Linked DNA regions of Mus musculus: regions 1 and 3 are each reported to be linked to region 2. The links are microRNA targets in miRTarBase. Many come from high-throughput screens and were not tested one by one. Region 2 holds a microRNA gene; each other region holds the end of a gene's coding sequence.

Region 1 (4,241 bases), not on the chromosome of region 2:
GCAGGAGTTCCAAGATCTTTGACCTTGGCATGAAGGGTAAATGATAACCTGGGTCCTTTGACAGACATACTGCAAATTCAGACAGGGACTGTGAAGTCAAGTACAATAAGAAGACAGAGACCATTGTCCAAGTCCTGGGGCTCATCATGACTGGCAGGGACAGAAACTCTCTCCATTGCCCTCTGTCTCAGGATGGAATTTACACATTAAGCACTCCCTGCCAAAGTCTGTTCCTTCTTGGTTCCCCTTCTTAACTGCCACTATGGGACCCTTAGCAGATACATCACAGGGGTGAGACCTCTTTCAATTGTGCATGTTCTTTGAGGACTAAAGATGTCAACTTCATCACAGTGTCCCATGGCCCAACTTTGCACTCAATACCAAAGTCACTAAATTCTGTGCGTGCAGGGCTGAGTACACAGCTGGAAGAGTTAAATAGAACCACAGATCAGAACCTGGTAACGATAAGTCTCTGGTTCTAGCTTTAGGGATACAAAGGTTAGGGTACAAGTAAAAGAATGACAGAAAGGGAACTCTTAGGAAACAGTGTCACCTGTCCCTTGTTTCAGGCCTCTGGGCACCAAGCCAGCTAAGCAGCCATCTCAGCAACCAGGAAATGGGTCACCATAAAGGAAGAAAGATATGATCAGCTGAGTAGCTCAGCCAGTGGCTCTGGCCACTTCTACACTACGCAGTTCCTCTGCCCTATGGTTCGGCTTTTATGATGCAAGACCAAGGAGTTTGTCAAAGAGGAGGTTATACAGAGGTGTCCTTAGTTGTGCTTAGTAGAATATCTGGAGCTTGAGGACTTTTCTTGAAAATTCCAATCACATGTACTTATTCCAGATATCAGAGGAAGGGAAACAAACCTCACTTTCCCCTCAGCATGCTGCTGTCCTCAAATATGTCTGTGGGAGTACCATGGAACAACCCAAATCCTGACCCTGCCACTTCCAAAGCCACAGTAGATGCTGGAGCAGGTCCTTGGGGGTCTACTCTCTGTTTTCCTAGGGAGTTTATATGGAGATTGTCATGAACCAAAGCTGGTGCTTTCTGTCATTAATTTAGAAGGCATCATAGGAGAGGCTGAGACCTAGGAAGAGATTTGTGGGAGTGATGCGAAGAAGTGATACTGATGCTTAATGGGCATCGCTAAGGGACTCCTCAGCCGTCAAGTTCGTTTCCTGGAAACTGGAATCACTCTCCCCCATCTGAGATAGGAAAGGAAAGACCAGACAACTCTGTGTTGTTGCTAAGACTATTAAGCCAGTCTGAACTGCCAGGCCCCTTCGCTCAAACATAACTTCCCCTAAAAAGGCAAATTGCCTGGGAAGATAGAAAAATTGTCAGTACACTAGCTCTAGGATCCAGAATGCAGGTGGCTGGTTTCACCCAAAGGGTTGTGGTTGCCAAGGTTATTGTTGATACATGCTCAGCACCTACTGCTCTCTCTTTGGAGGTTGCAGTCTTGGACCTACAATCACTGAAGCATTACAAAGAGAAGTGCATTACAAAGTCTGCACAGCAAAGCTAGTCAGCTACTACTGCCTTGCTTTTCATCCCTTTCCTGTGCCAGAGTCACTGCACAACTCCCAAGACACCATAGCAGAGCGTGAGTAAGGGCAGAATCTGCCCTTGGGTGCACACTCCAGGGCCCTGGACAGCTATGGGAACTGTCTGTAAGCAGTGCAGGGCGTGTCCATTTCGCCTTTCATAGGCAGCTCATTCAGGAGTTAAATTGGCCCTTCCATGGATCAGTTCTCCTGCTCCTGGAGCCTTATGCCCTAGTCCAGTCTAGGTACTCAGGCTGCATAAATCACCAGGGGCCACCCAGGTCCACGGAGGTCTCTATCTCACCAGCCCCAAGCCTCTCATTTCCAAACACACGACAGGCCTATAGCATCTTGATATCAGATATCTACAGAACTTGCAAAAACAAAAGCTGTGGGGAGAAAATATAGTCAGAAACAAAGCTCAAACTGAGAGAGAGAGAGAGAGAGAGAGAGAGAGAGAGAGAGAGAGAGAGAGAGAGACCCAGTTTTTAAAATTTATATTTCCAGAATTTGAACACCTATTTGCCTATTTGGGATTTGGAATCCATGAAATGTTTCTCCACAAAGTAGGATTGGACAAAACATTAAGGGCTCTCTTACTAAAAGCATGAATCAATAAATAACTGAAGTTGCTGAAGCAGACAGGCATGAAATACAAGGAGAGCAACCTGTGACATGTACAATGTTTTGTCCCAGAGATCTGGTGATTAAAAGGCCTAAGGCAGGTTAAGAAAAAGGCCAGTCACAATTTTAAAAGAACTTCAACTTTTGATAGGTTGCTAGCGGGTACCCCCCTTGTGAGGGACTTAAAGCATAAATTTTAAAGGCTTTGGATACCCCAGCAAAGGCAATTAAGACTCGTGCTGTTAGACTTTGCAGCTCATTTCACTCCGTCTACACCATATCCCCTGCTAACCAATCCAGCCTCTGGCCAGCATTCTGGAGGTTCATTAGGCATCATATAAATACTCCAGGCCACACTGCCTCCAGTGAAATCTTATAAGAACCTTTGTCCATTACTAAGGAACAATTATGCACCACGTATTTGGATCTGCTGTCCTTAGTTGCCTTTGCAAAGCTGAATAAGTCTCCATTGTGGCAAGTAGACCAAACTCCGATAACATTCTTATGCTACAGGGGGGAAAGGCACTATCACACTAAGAATGCAAGTTGACCACAGTTTTAAAGTCAATTGAGTATACTATGTCATGGTCCAAGAATGTGCTTTTAATTGTAATTGACACACACAAATTACACAGTTAATCTGTGTGAATGCAAAGTTGCCAAGAAATTTAACATTTCAGTTCTTCCAGACTGGCGTCTGCCTAGATGCAATCACACAAACTAAAATATTTTAAGTCCCAATTGCTTAACATTGCTTAATGCAATAGGTCTCTAGGGTCGGTAAGGTAAGTCAACTTAGCAAATCTCATTTTTCTCTGAATTAAGTGATTGTCAGAAAGTGAATCACCTTCCCTTTTCCTCTCATTAGGCATGCTGCAGTGCAAAAAAAAAAAATCCTATAAAAATAACCTTTTTTTTTTTTGAGTCATTAGTTTAAAGTGAAGAAAACAGGGGCTGCCTAGAATTAGGGATGTTGAAATTTCAGGAGAGAGAAATCCACTGGATACCTTACGTGTGTTAGTACAGTACTTTTGTTTGCTCAAACAATTCTGTTTTACGACAAAGGCACTGAAGGATTTTGACACCACCTCTTGGGAGTGCGCTACAGAGTTCTAAACAGCAGACAGTGTAGGCCAGAAGATGTTTATGTTAGACCAGCCAAACTATAAAACTCTGCAACACGTCTCCCAACCCAGCATTTCCAGTGTTTATAGATCACTTTGCTATCTGCAAGACCTAGTTACTATTTAAAATTTAAAAGGGTTTTAAAAATTAATCTTTCTCCTTGCATGTTATCAACTCACAGTTGAAATCCCACCCAGTAGGAGCAAACACTATCACCCTGGGCTTCAGGAATCTAGGCGGGACCTCCACGGACTCCAAGCTGTGACCTGCTAAAGTGATCAACATTTTGATTTTTCACAGCTTTGAAAACCTCTAACTGGCTTTTCCATTTTGGACCATTCCAAAGTCTGCAGTGAAGCCATTGGTCTTCTGATGCTGAGTTGGGTGAGTGGTGGTGGGCTGACGTGGGTGTGTGTGGGCTGAAGTGTTTCTAAGTTTGTTCAAACTGAGATTCCCTGCATCACTTCCTTCACAATGAGGAACGAGGAAGCCGGCTAGTCTTATACCACAGTCTCGTTGCCTTTTCCTGGCTTCACCCAACCATTCCCCCTCTTCTCTCTCTTTACCTTCCCAGAATTCACCAATCGGTTAGAACACTTTTGCCACGTGTGAAGAGTTTTGGCAGACCAAATCCACATGCCTGAAGTGATGCCCACGAGCAAAGACATAAAAATTTTCAACATTTCAACTGCCATGTTTGAGTCATCTGCAGAATATCGAAAGAGTGCCCAGTTTGAGATTTCATAGAAATAACAGGCAATCACACAGGTTGCAGGAACCGTGTACAGTACTGAGAAGACCCCGATCTTGACCATTAGCCTTTCCAACTTGTCTGTCTTTGTCCCGTCTTTTTGAAGATTGGACCGGATTTTGAATAAGGCCACCAAACCCGCCGCAATGAACAGCGTTCCAATCACCAAATACGTAAAGAGAGGAGCC
Region 2 (4,241 bases):
GACAGTTATTTTCCTCTGTGAAGAAGCATCAAGTGAATATAAAATTTAGTGTATTAGGAACAAAACTTCTTACTAAAACTGTAAAGCTTTACAATATGAATATCAGATAGTCAAGCATTCTTATTATAATGATGTAGTGGATGCATGAAACCCACAGGTTGGTAGACAACAAATAACCCCAGAAAAAGGAAGGTAGGGGTGGGAAGGAACCAGAGGACACATTTGAGACCCATGATAATTAGCTGGTTTCAACACTTCTGTGTCTTCATGTAGAATGCTACATGCTCTATAGGTCTGGAATTTCCACTTAAGATCACCCGCTTCTAAGTAAAGAAACTTCCAGGCAGTAAAATAATTAAAACTCATGACATTTTTACCAGTATGAGCACATCATACATTTTCTAGATAAAAGCATTTAGACATGATTAAGACTAATCTCACTAACTTACCTCAAGGATCCTGTGTGGTCAGTATGATCTTGCAACAGAGAAAATTATGGTTTAACTAAGAACACAGAAGTGACACCCATGCTGAAACCGCAAAAGTAACTTTTATTTTGAATATAATCTCTTTTCCATACAATATTTTGTCTTCTCTGAGTTGTAGACCTGATGGTAACTTTATTGTGGCTCCTTTAAGATGTTGGGTTTGCAGGCTTAGAAATCAGTAGCATTTGTTTATTCTTTGTTACTTATAAACCAGTGTTTCATCACAGCCATTCATGGCATGATTAAAATCTCATTATTTGACACTTCTGTTGCACAATAAGTCCAGGGTAGAGTCGCAAAGACATGACTTGAGGACTTGCAAACGTCAGGGTTTAGGGGTATGGTGAACAGAAATGAAGACGGGTGTCCCTTAAAGGACTTACAACCTGGTACAGTAAATCAAGCAGCAACTAAGCAAATGAACATGGACAGGTAGTGCCCAATGATTCTGACAAGTCAGAGCAGGGTCATGAGGTGAACGGTGGCTGGGCACATGTAAGGTTTTATAGACAGTGCCATGGTGAAAGAGTTCTCCACTGATGCCCAAAAGATAAGACAGGGCAGTAGAGGCGGGAATATTCCTGGTGCAGCCAAGAACATCCCCAAAAGGCCAGTGTGGCTAGAACAGAGCGAGTGATTCGGTATAGGACTGGAGAGAAGTCAGGGCGAGACAGACCAAGTCACAGGGCCCTACATATCATGGATGGCTTGTAGCAAGACAAGGAGGAACAGGACGGAGGTAGCCAAGCTGCTGTCAGACAGGAAAGATGGCAATATGTTGGCATAGCAGGTTCTCAGTTCAACAGCTATGCCAGCATCTTGCCTCCTCTCCAGTTCCGAGTTACAGGAGCAATACCATCCCTCTTCGTTGTTATGCTTTTCCACAATCTCTCCTTCCACCTGAGGAGAGAAAACACACCCATTAGTTGAAAACACAAGCTGTTTCCTAATGTAACAATGCAGTGGTCCTTAGAGTGTCCAATTTTGAAGGCAGTTATGCACAGGGAGGTTGTGGTTAAGTTCCTGTTTTAAATATTCCTTGAATAACATGGATCTCAAAATATTTGCTGCTTGTGAAATGACAAGGTGGTTCCGAAGTAAAATTAAGTCATAAACTGACAACGATGAATACAGCCATTTTCATAGTCCATAGGAGTGCAGTGACCTCTGTACAGTCTTGTGTATAGCATAATATTCTGCTTGGCTAATCTTGGCCATTTAGATGCCCCTTAATAATATTAAGCTGTCACCTCATGGGGTGTGGATGTGTCATTGCTCCATGAGCCCTTAAACATAAATCTCTTCAAGCCAAGAATTCTCAGAGTGGAATATTTTTCACAAATACAACTGAAAAAGTTCTTCGTTCAAAGATATTCACTACAATATTAGTCTTAATTGTTAAAGGCTAGAAAGATTATGAATGTCCATCGATATTACAGACACCAACTAAATGAATTATGATGTAGTTATAAAATATTCTTTCCTGGTCCTTATAGAAGATTAAGGCACAATAATGGCATTATATATGATAATTTCTGTGTAAAATGTATACCTAACAAGATTATGCTTATAACATTTTTCATGAAGGGTACAGAAGTGACAATTTTAGGTGATTTTATTATTTTACAGTAACTAGAATTATATATTACTTTTGTTTCCTGCTTTACTAGGTTTCTGTAAAACTATTACTTACAAGCAATGAGTAACAGTGCAACAGAGCTACAGCATTTACTCACTTGGATGTAGCTAACATCAACTGTGTTTCCTAGAAGCAAAAGTTGAGCATGACACATATAGTCACGCGGTGGAATACGTGAACTACGTGCAGCACCTTTTCTTGGTCAGCTAGGTTATGAAGGAGCTATTGCACAAGCCCCTCACTTTCTTGCCTGGAGTCAGGTAAAAGAGTGTAAAGATACTAATTGATGTAAGAATATTTAAGAGATGATACTCATTATTGTAAATATATCTAATAGTTCTTGGTTCACCCAGAACAGCACATGGTTCAAATATGAATGTCAAATGAATAGATTAAGTAACAAAATACAGCATAATATGAAGATTTCATGGAGCAGTTTCTCAAAAAAGAGAAAAGCTCATTTTTTTTTCATTTTCCTCACCTGTTATGCTTGTGATTAAGATGCAAACACAGGTTACATCGCTTTAGAAGGTACATGCTACACAATTAAAAACACCCTGTGACCTTTTTCAGATTCATTGTATCACATGGAAATTTCGGATTCAGGTTACACAGAAGCATGGCTGTGGGTGACTATTTGATTTACCAGAGACAGTAATTACCAGAGACAAGAATTATCGGAGAACTTACGGGCTATTTGATGAGGCTCATTTAGGGGAAAGATGGGGCAATACAGTAATTCGTCTCTCCCTCCTACTTCCTGTTCCCCTACTTTAAATGCCTCAATTTATAGTTCAAACGTTCAGAAGTAGATAGTTTTGTACCCCGTCTCAGTTTCTTTTCTGCTGCTGTGATAAAATAACCTCATATAGCTGAAGGGAGAAAGCGCTTCCGCTAGCTCGCAGTTCAAAGGGCAGTTCACCACGGCAGGGAGTCAAGGCAGTGTGCTGGGTGTGGGGTGGGGTGTCCAGGCTGACACAGCTGCTCACTCTGTGTCCATTGTCAGAACATACAGAGTTTCTCAACTCTCCTCTTTATGTGCAGGGATGTTCTCACATCAGTTAACGGAAACAAGATAATCCCACAGGCATTCCTATCACCTATCAGCCAGATGATGATATATTCTGTCCGTTGACAAGTCACTCTTACCATTACACTACCCCTGTAAAGAAAGTTGTTAGCATTGTTACACATTGTGGGTTGTTTTTTCATTTTAATATTTCTATGATACTAAATGAGTCAAGGATTCCAAGTGACTGCTGGTAATATATCCCCCTCGTGACATAAACTTCAAGCCTAATCATAATTACGTTACAACTAGAAAATAAAACAAGACAAAAAAATGGATTACAAATCCCTAATTGTAAACCCTTAGCAGTTAAAGTTGAATCATAAGAGCTGCTGGCAGTAAAACCCCTTGAGGTACATGGTCCATTTATAATTTTCATATCCTAAAAGGATTTTTTCTTTTGTGTCTCTTTATTAGTGTGAATATCCAAATAAAATCCAAACTAATTTTTACTTTGAAACTAGCAGTCTGTTTTCCTTTGTAAACACTGACTTGAGGCCACTCTAGAAACAGTGCTCACATGTCCTGGACACATGGGAGCAGGAGAGAGCTAGCTACACTGCTGTACTTCCTATGCAGAGATAAGGAAGGGAACCAACTCAACCATGGTGACTACAAAGCTGGCAGAGCCGCACACAGTGACTCTTTCTAGAACTGGAATATAGTTTATTCCAGTTTTAATGTTTAAAATAGTTGTCCTAAGAAAGCTGGTATGGGGAGTTGCAGATGATTATGGACGAAGAGCAGAATGTACTAGTTTTTAAGTACAGCATTATGGAAAAATTTGTGGTCCAATCAAGAACATAACTGTGGGGGGGGGGGGGAAGAACATTTACTGAATGTGTTGGGATTACTTGTGGGAACAGACAATTTCACAGGATGTGCTTAAAGCTACTCCCTAACTGATAGAAGTCAGATGTGTGTTGCCTTGCACCTGCTGGGCTGCAAAAAGGCATATGCACACACACACACACAGATATTGTGTGATATTATACACGCGTACATGTATCTGTAGGTTATAGTGGAAAAAATACCATTTCTTAGA
Region 3 (4,241 bases), not on the chromosome of region 2:
TCCATGCATGCAAACTACACATACACATAAAATATAAATAAAAGCTTTTAAAAACGATTTTCTAAAAGACGTAGGGAGGAGGGGATCTGTTTTGGCTTCCAGGTCACAGTTCATATTGAGAGAAATCAGGAAAGAAACTTGACCAGGAACTTGACGTAGTAACTATGGAAGAATGCTATTTGCAAACGTGCTCCCTGACGCATGCTTAGCTAGCTTTCTCACACAGCCCAAAACCACCTGTCCAGTGAATGATGCTGCTTACAGAGGCTGGACCCTCCTGCATCTATCAACAAGCAAGGCACTTCTCCACAGACATGCTCAGGGACACCTCTGATCTGGACTGCCACGGACCCTCAACTGAGACAAGAGCTCTAGAACAGGAACTGCCTGACTTCTCAGCCAATTCTGGGAAATCTGAGGGGAAAACTGGAGTCTGGCCTATCCAACTGTGGCTGACATGCCCCACAAAACACAGAGCAACCTGGGATGGAGGGACGCTTATAAGCAGTGCATGCTCCCTGCTTCTTGCTAGAAGGCCTATCTAAGCCAAATACTTGTCCCTAGGAACCCCAATTTCTGTACCTAAGAAGGGCAATACTACGCACCTTGCAAGTTCTAGGCTAGCATCATGTTCACACTGCAATGCCTGATTTCTGGTCTCACCATCTTTTAATGACCCCGTGCTCAGCCAGCAGGCTTCAGGGCCAGCCCCAGACTCATTTCCTTGGGAGCTCCAGCCTTGACCATCCCAAACTTTTTGCTTTCTGTTTCAGCAAATCTCAGTCCCTGACTAACAGCCTCAGCACATCAGATACCTCCCATCGAGGGACCCCAAGTGAAGATGAGGCCAAGGCTGAGACAATCCGCAACCTGAGGAAGTCCTTCGCCAGTCTCTTCTCTGACTAGCCCCTATCCAGGCTGGAAGACAGGCAGGCAGGCAAGAAGACTCGATCACTGGAGCCTTTCTCTGGTTCCCTCCTTCTCAGCCTTGGTTCCCAACGGAAATATGCTTCCTAAAGATGCAGGAACTGATGATCTACAGCCATTCCCCCCTCCTTGACCATGACATTCCAATGCTGTCTGACTGAATGGTAGCCTTGGGAGCCCCTAGGTTCCTCAACACGGGCCCTCTAGACAGACAAGGCATCACTACATCCACCATATGCCTGCTCCCCTGTCGCCGGTACCAAGTGAGATGTCTGTGTGGCTTGTTTTTGCAGTCTTATTAGTATTTTGCTTGCCTTTGGGCAGAGGCCCTCTTCTAGGCCTTGACTCACCTTCATCAAATGCATACATTATAGTCGGACCTCAGCAACACAAGAGGCAATACTTTTTAATGGTGGTTTTGCAAACAGAAATAGGGAAGCCCAGCCTGGGAGCCCACTACTCACCTGAAGCTAACTAATGCCATCCCTGCTGGGGGTAGGCTGACAAAGGCCCCCATCACAGCTGGCCCTCATGGTGACCTTGATGTCAATAGAAAGAAGCTAGACCCTATGCAACAAGTGGGACCTTTCAGAACAGGACAGAGGAAAACCCACAGAGCCAACAGCAGGAATCCAGAGGAGAGAGCTTGTGTTCCCAGGGGAGAGGGACGCAGGAGGATTGTGCCTGTCTGACCTCACACAGAATCTGTTCTTTTTCATCCTTAAGGCTAGATGGGAACCCAGAGAAAGTGGATGGCTCCCTGTCACAGGATCAGAAGACACAGTGATGGCTCAGCATCCTACCTGCTCTGAAAGAGGAGTTAGTAGGTCACTCAGTTTATAGTGGGAGATCCTTTAAAAACAGGGTGTGTGGTTTCTTTAGGAGCTACTGAAGCCTTTTGGAATTTCTTCCAGAAAAAGTTCCACTCCAACCTTGTTGTCGGCGTAGCCACGATGACTACGATGGTTTGCTGCAGAGCTAGGCAAAGTGGTCCTGATTCCCTTTCCAGTGGTCTTTCCCCTGCACCAGATGGCCTCCCAGGACCACATCACCAAGCACCTGGTGCTAGGAACATTGTAGGTGCCAGAAGCCGCCTCCTGGTCCCCAGACAGACCCAGAACATCAGAACAGAGCCATGTTCCTCTCTATACAGCCCCTGTGGCCTCCCGAGGCGTGCCCTCGCTGCACTGTCTGAGGCAGGGGAGTTATTAACTGAAGAAGCGTCTGGTTATGCTTGAGTTCTGCACATTGCTTGGTGATCATCTGAGGCCTCCTTGGGTCTCCAGGAGCATAGAGGCCATCACTATGATTTCTGGGGACTTTGTTTTCTTGAAACAATCTCACTCAGCAACTCAGGCTGGCATAGAATATATTATGTAGCCCACACAAGTCTCAAACTCAGCGATTCTCCTGCTTTATCAGCCTCCCAAGTGCTGAGATTACATTTATGAACCACCACGCCCAGCAAGCAATCCATCACTTTTGGGTCCTCCCAGCCCAGACATGAGTGGCAGAAACAAAGGGTAAAGACCCTGTCCTGCCTTGGACCACTTAGACCCCTGCATTTCTGCAGAATGCACCTTCCAGCTGGTTTCCAGCAGGGATCAGCTCAGTATAAAAAGTGGTAGCTTTGCCACTGGCTGCTAGAGATCCGGTTAGCCCTCAAGGTCATCCTCTCTCTCCTTACCTCTTCCCTCTCCCTCTTGATCAAGTCAGTGTTGAGAGCAAGCGTACTGGAGTTATTTCAGAAGCCCTCCTTGGCCTCCCTTTCCATATCCTTGGTTTGGAGTGATAAGTTGCAGCTGTGATGTAGGATCATGTAGGTCCCGTGACTGCTGAGGCCATCATTTGGAGCTGCACATACAGGACTTAGGCCCAATTGAAATTGACCAGAATCAACAGTAAATAGGCTGTGGTGTTAAGGTGTAGAGGCCCTCCCAGTACCAAGAAAGCCCAGCCTGTTTTATTGCTAACCTCCAGGAATTCAGTGTGAGGAGGACAGTCCCCGAGCATGGCCACACCCAGCCTGCCCACATCTCCCTCATTTTACTCAACTGCTCTTCTATCGCAGGATGAGGCTGCAAAAGCTTCCAGAATGCTTTTGGAGGCTAATGGGGATGACCCAGCACGTGGTGAGACACATGGCACAACTGCCAGTGCAATCTCCTAGACACATCTGCTCCCTGGTAAGGGAGGAAGTCTGGAGGCCAGCACCCCCCAAGCCATACTTTAGGTAGGTCAACCAAAGGAGAAAGAAGATCAGTCTGTGAGTCCACAGAACACTGCTTCTTCCTCCTGCCCCTCCCTCCCTCCTCTGCGCTTAGCTCTTGCACCTTTCTCTAGAGCCTCTGAAGAATGCGAGGGGAGACAGAAGGAAGGAGTGTGGTGTGGGAAGTAAGATTTGAAGTATCAAAAGAGAGTCTGTGAAGTGAGCTCCACAGAAGAGGATGTGGATGCTAATGCCTGGGTAATGACCTGAATGAGCACATTAGGACGTAACAGCCTAAAGCCCCATTACCTCATCTCGGACGGTAACTCTTGCTAGTTCCTGATATTTGCTTCAGTGACAGTCTGCTTCCCCACCAGATCCTGAGAAGCCAGGCCTTGCTCATGGGGCATGTGTGGAGGAAAATCAGAACACCAGCGGCACAGAAGCTCCTGACAATGACAGCTGAAGTTGCTCCTGAAGCGTACTCCCGTGCACACACACACACACACACACACACACACACACACACACACACACACTGACAGACACAGAGATAAAAACAGAGACAGGCAGGCCAGCAGGCAGACACTGACAGACAGGCAGGCAGGCAGGCAGACAGATGGACGGACGGACAGGTAGACAGGAGAACTTTGCATTCTGAACAAGGGTGAGAGGCACGCTTTGAGTGACTTAAGAACACAGGGAACATCGGTGGCAGCCATCACTCTACAGCACTCTCAGCCTTGTCTAAATGATAGAACAGCTCCTGACACACAGTGGAGTAAAAACCAACAGCAGGAAGTTTCTCAAAATGTAGGCCATGGCCCTGGACATAACTACTTATAAAGGCCCAGAAAACTTTGCTTCAGAGCACAGCACATTGAACTTGTAGTTAGAGAGCTCAAAGCCTGCAGCTGGATCAGCCCGCTGAGACTGGGCTGCATTCTGAAGCCGGGTGGGGAGCAATATATGTCAATCACCAGCCTTGCTAAGGACCCGTTCCTTTGACAGGCAGAACCAGTGGCTCCATAAATGACCATGTGGCCAAAATACTCTCATAGTCTGCCCTTTAAAATATCTCAGCAATCGATGACATCCCTCCAGG

Evidence for each region. Region 2 holds the annotated microRNA mmu-miR-31-5p (AGGCAAGAUGCUGGCAUAGCUG, at 1,292-1,313, opposite strand). A microRNA usually pairs through its seed, bases 2 to 8, with sites in the 3' UTR of a target mRNA and lowers its output. Matches are read on the target gene's strand: a 7mer-m8 pairs with bases 2 to 8, a 7mer-A1 pairs with bases 2 to 7 and ends in A, and an 8mer does both.
Region 1: miRTarBase lists Fzd4 as a target of mmu-miR-31-5p. Seed matches in the 3' UTR shown: 7mer-A1 at 2,650-2,656.
Region 3: the mRNA of Syn3 is a reported target of mmu-miR-31-5p. The part of its 3' UTR that is shown has no 7-base or 8-base seed match.

Annotation. Positions count from the first base shown.
Region 1 is chr7:89,407,922-89,412,162 of GRCm38, reverse strand. It overlaps Fzd4 (frizzled class receptor 4), which reads right to left. Exons shown (of 2, transcript NM_008055.4): 2 at 2,053-4,241. The coding sequence ends at 3,803. Among named protein-coding and RNA genes, the nearest start is that of Fzd4, 5.7 kb to the right of the region's middle.
Region 2 is chr4:88,909,323-88,913,563 of GRCm38, forward strand. Mir31 (microRNA 31) reads right to left here and starts at 1,340; the gene lies at 1,235-1,340. It overlaps Gm49890 (predicted gene, 49890), which reads right to left. Exons shown (of 3, transcript NR_132735.1): 3 at 532-1,388.
Region 3 is chr10:86,052,197-86,056,437 of GRCm38, reverse strand. It overlaps Syn3 (synapsin III), which reads left to right. Exons shown (of 14, transcript NM_013722.3): 14 at 774-4,241. The coding sequence ends at 906. Among named protein-coding and RNA genes, the nearest start is that of Gm51812, 15 kb to the left of the region's middle.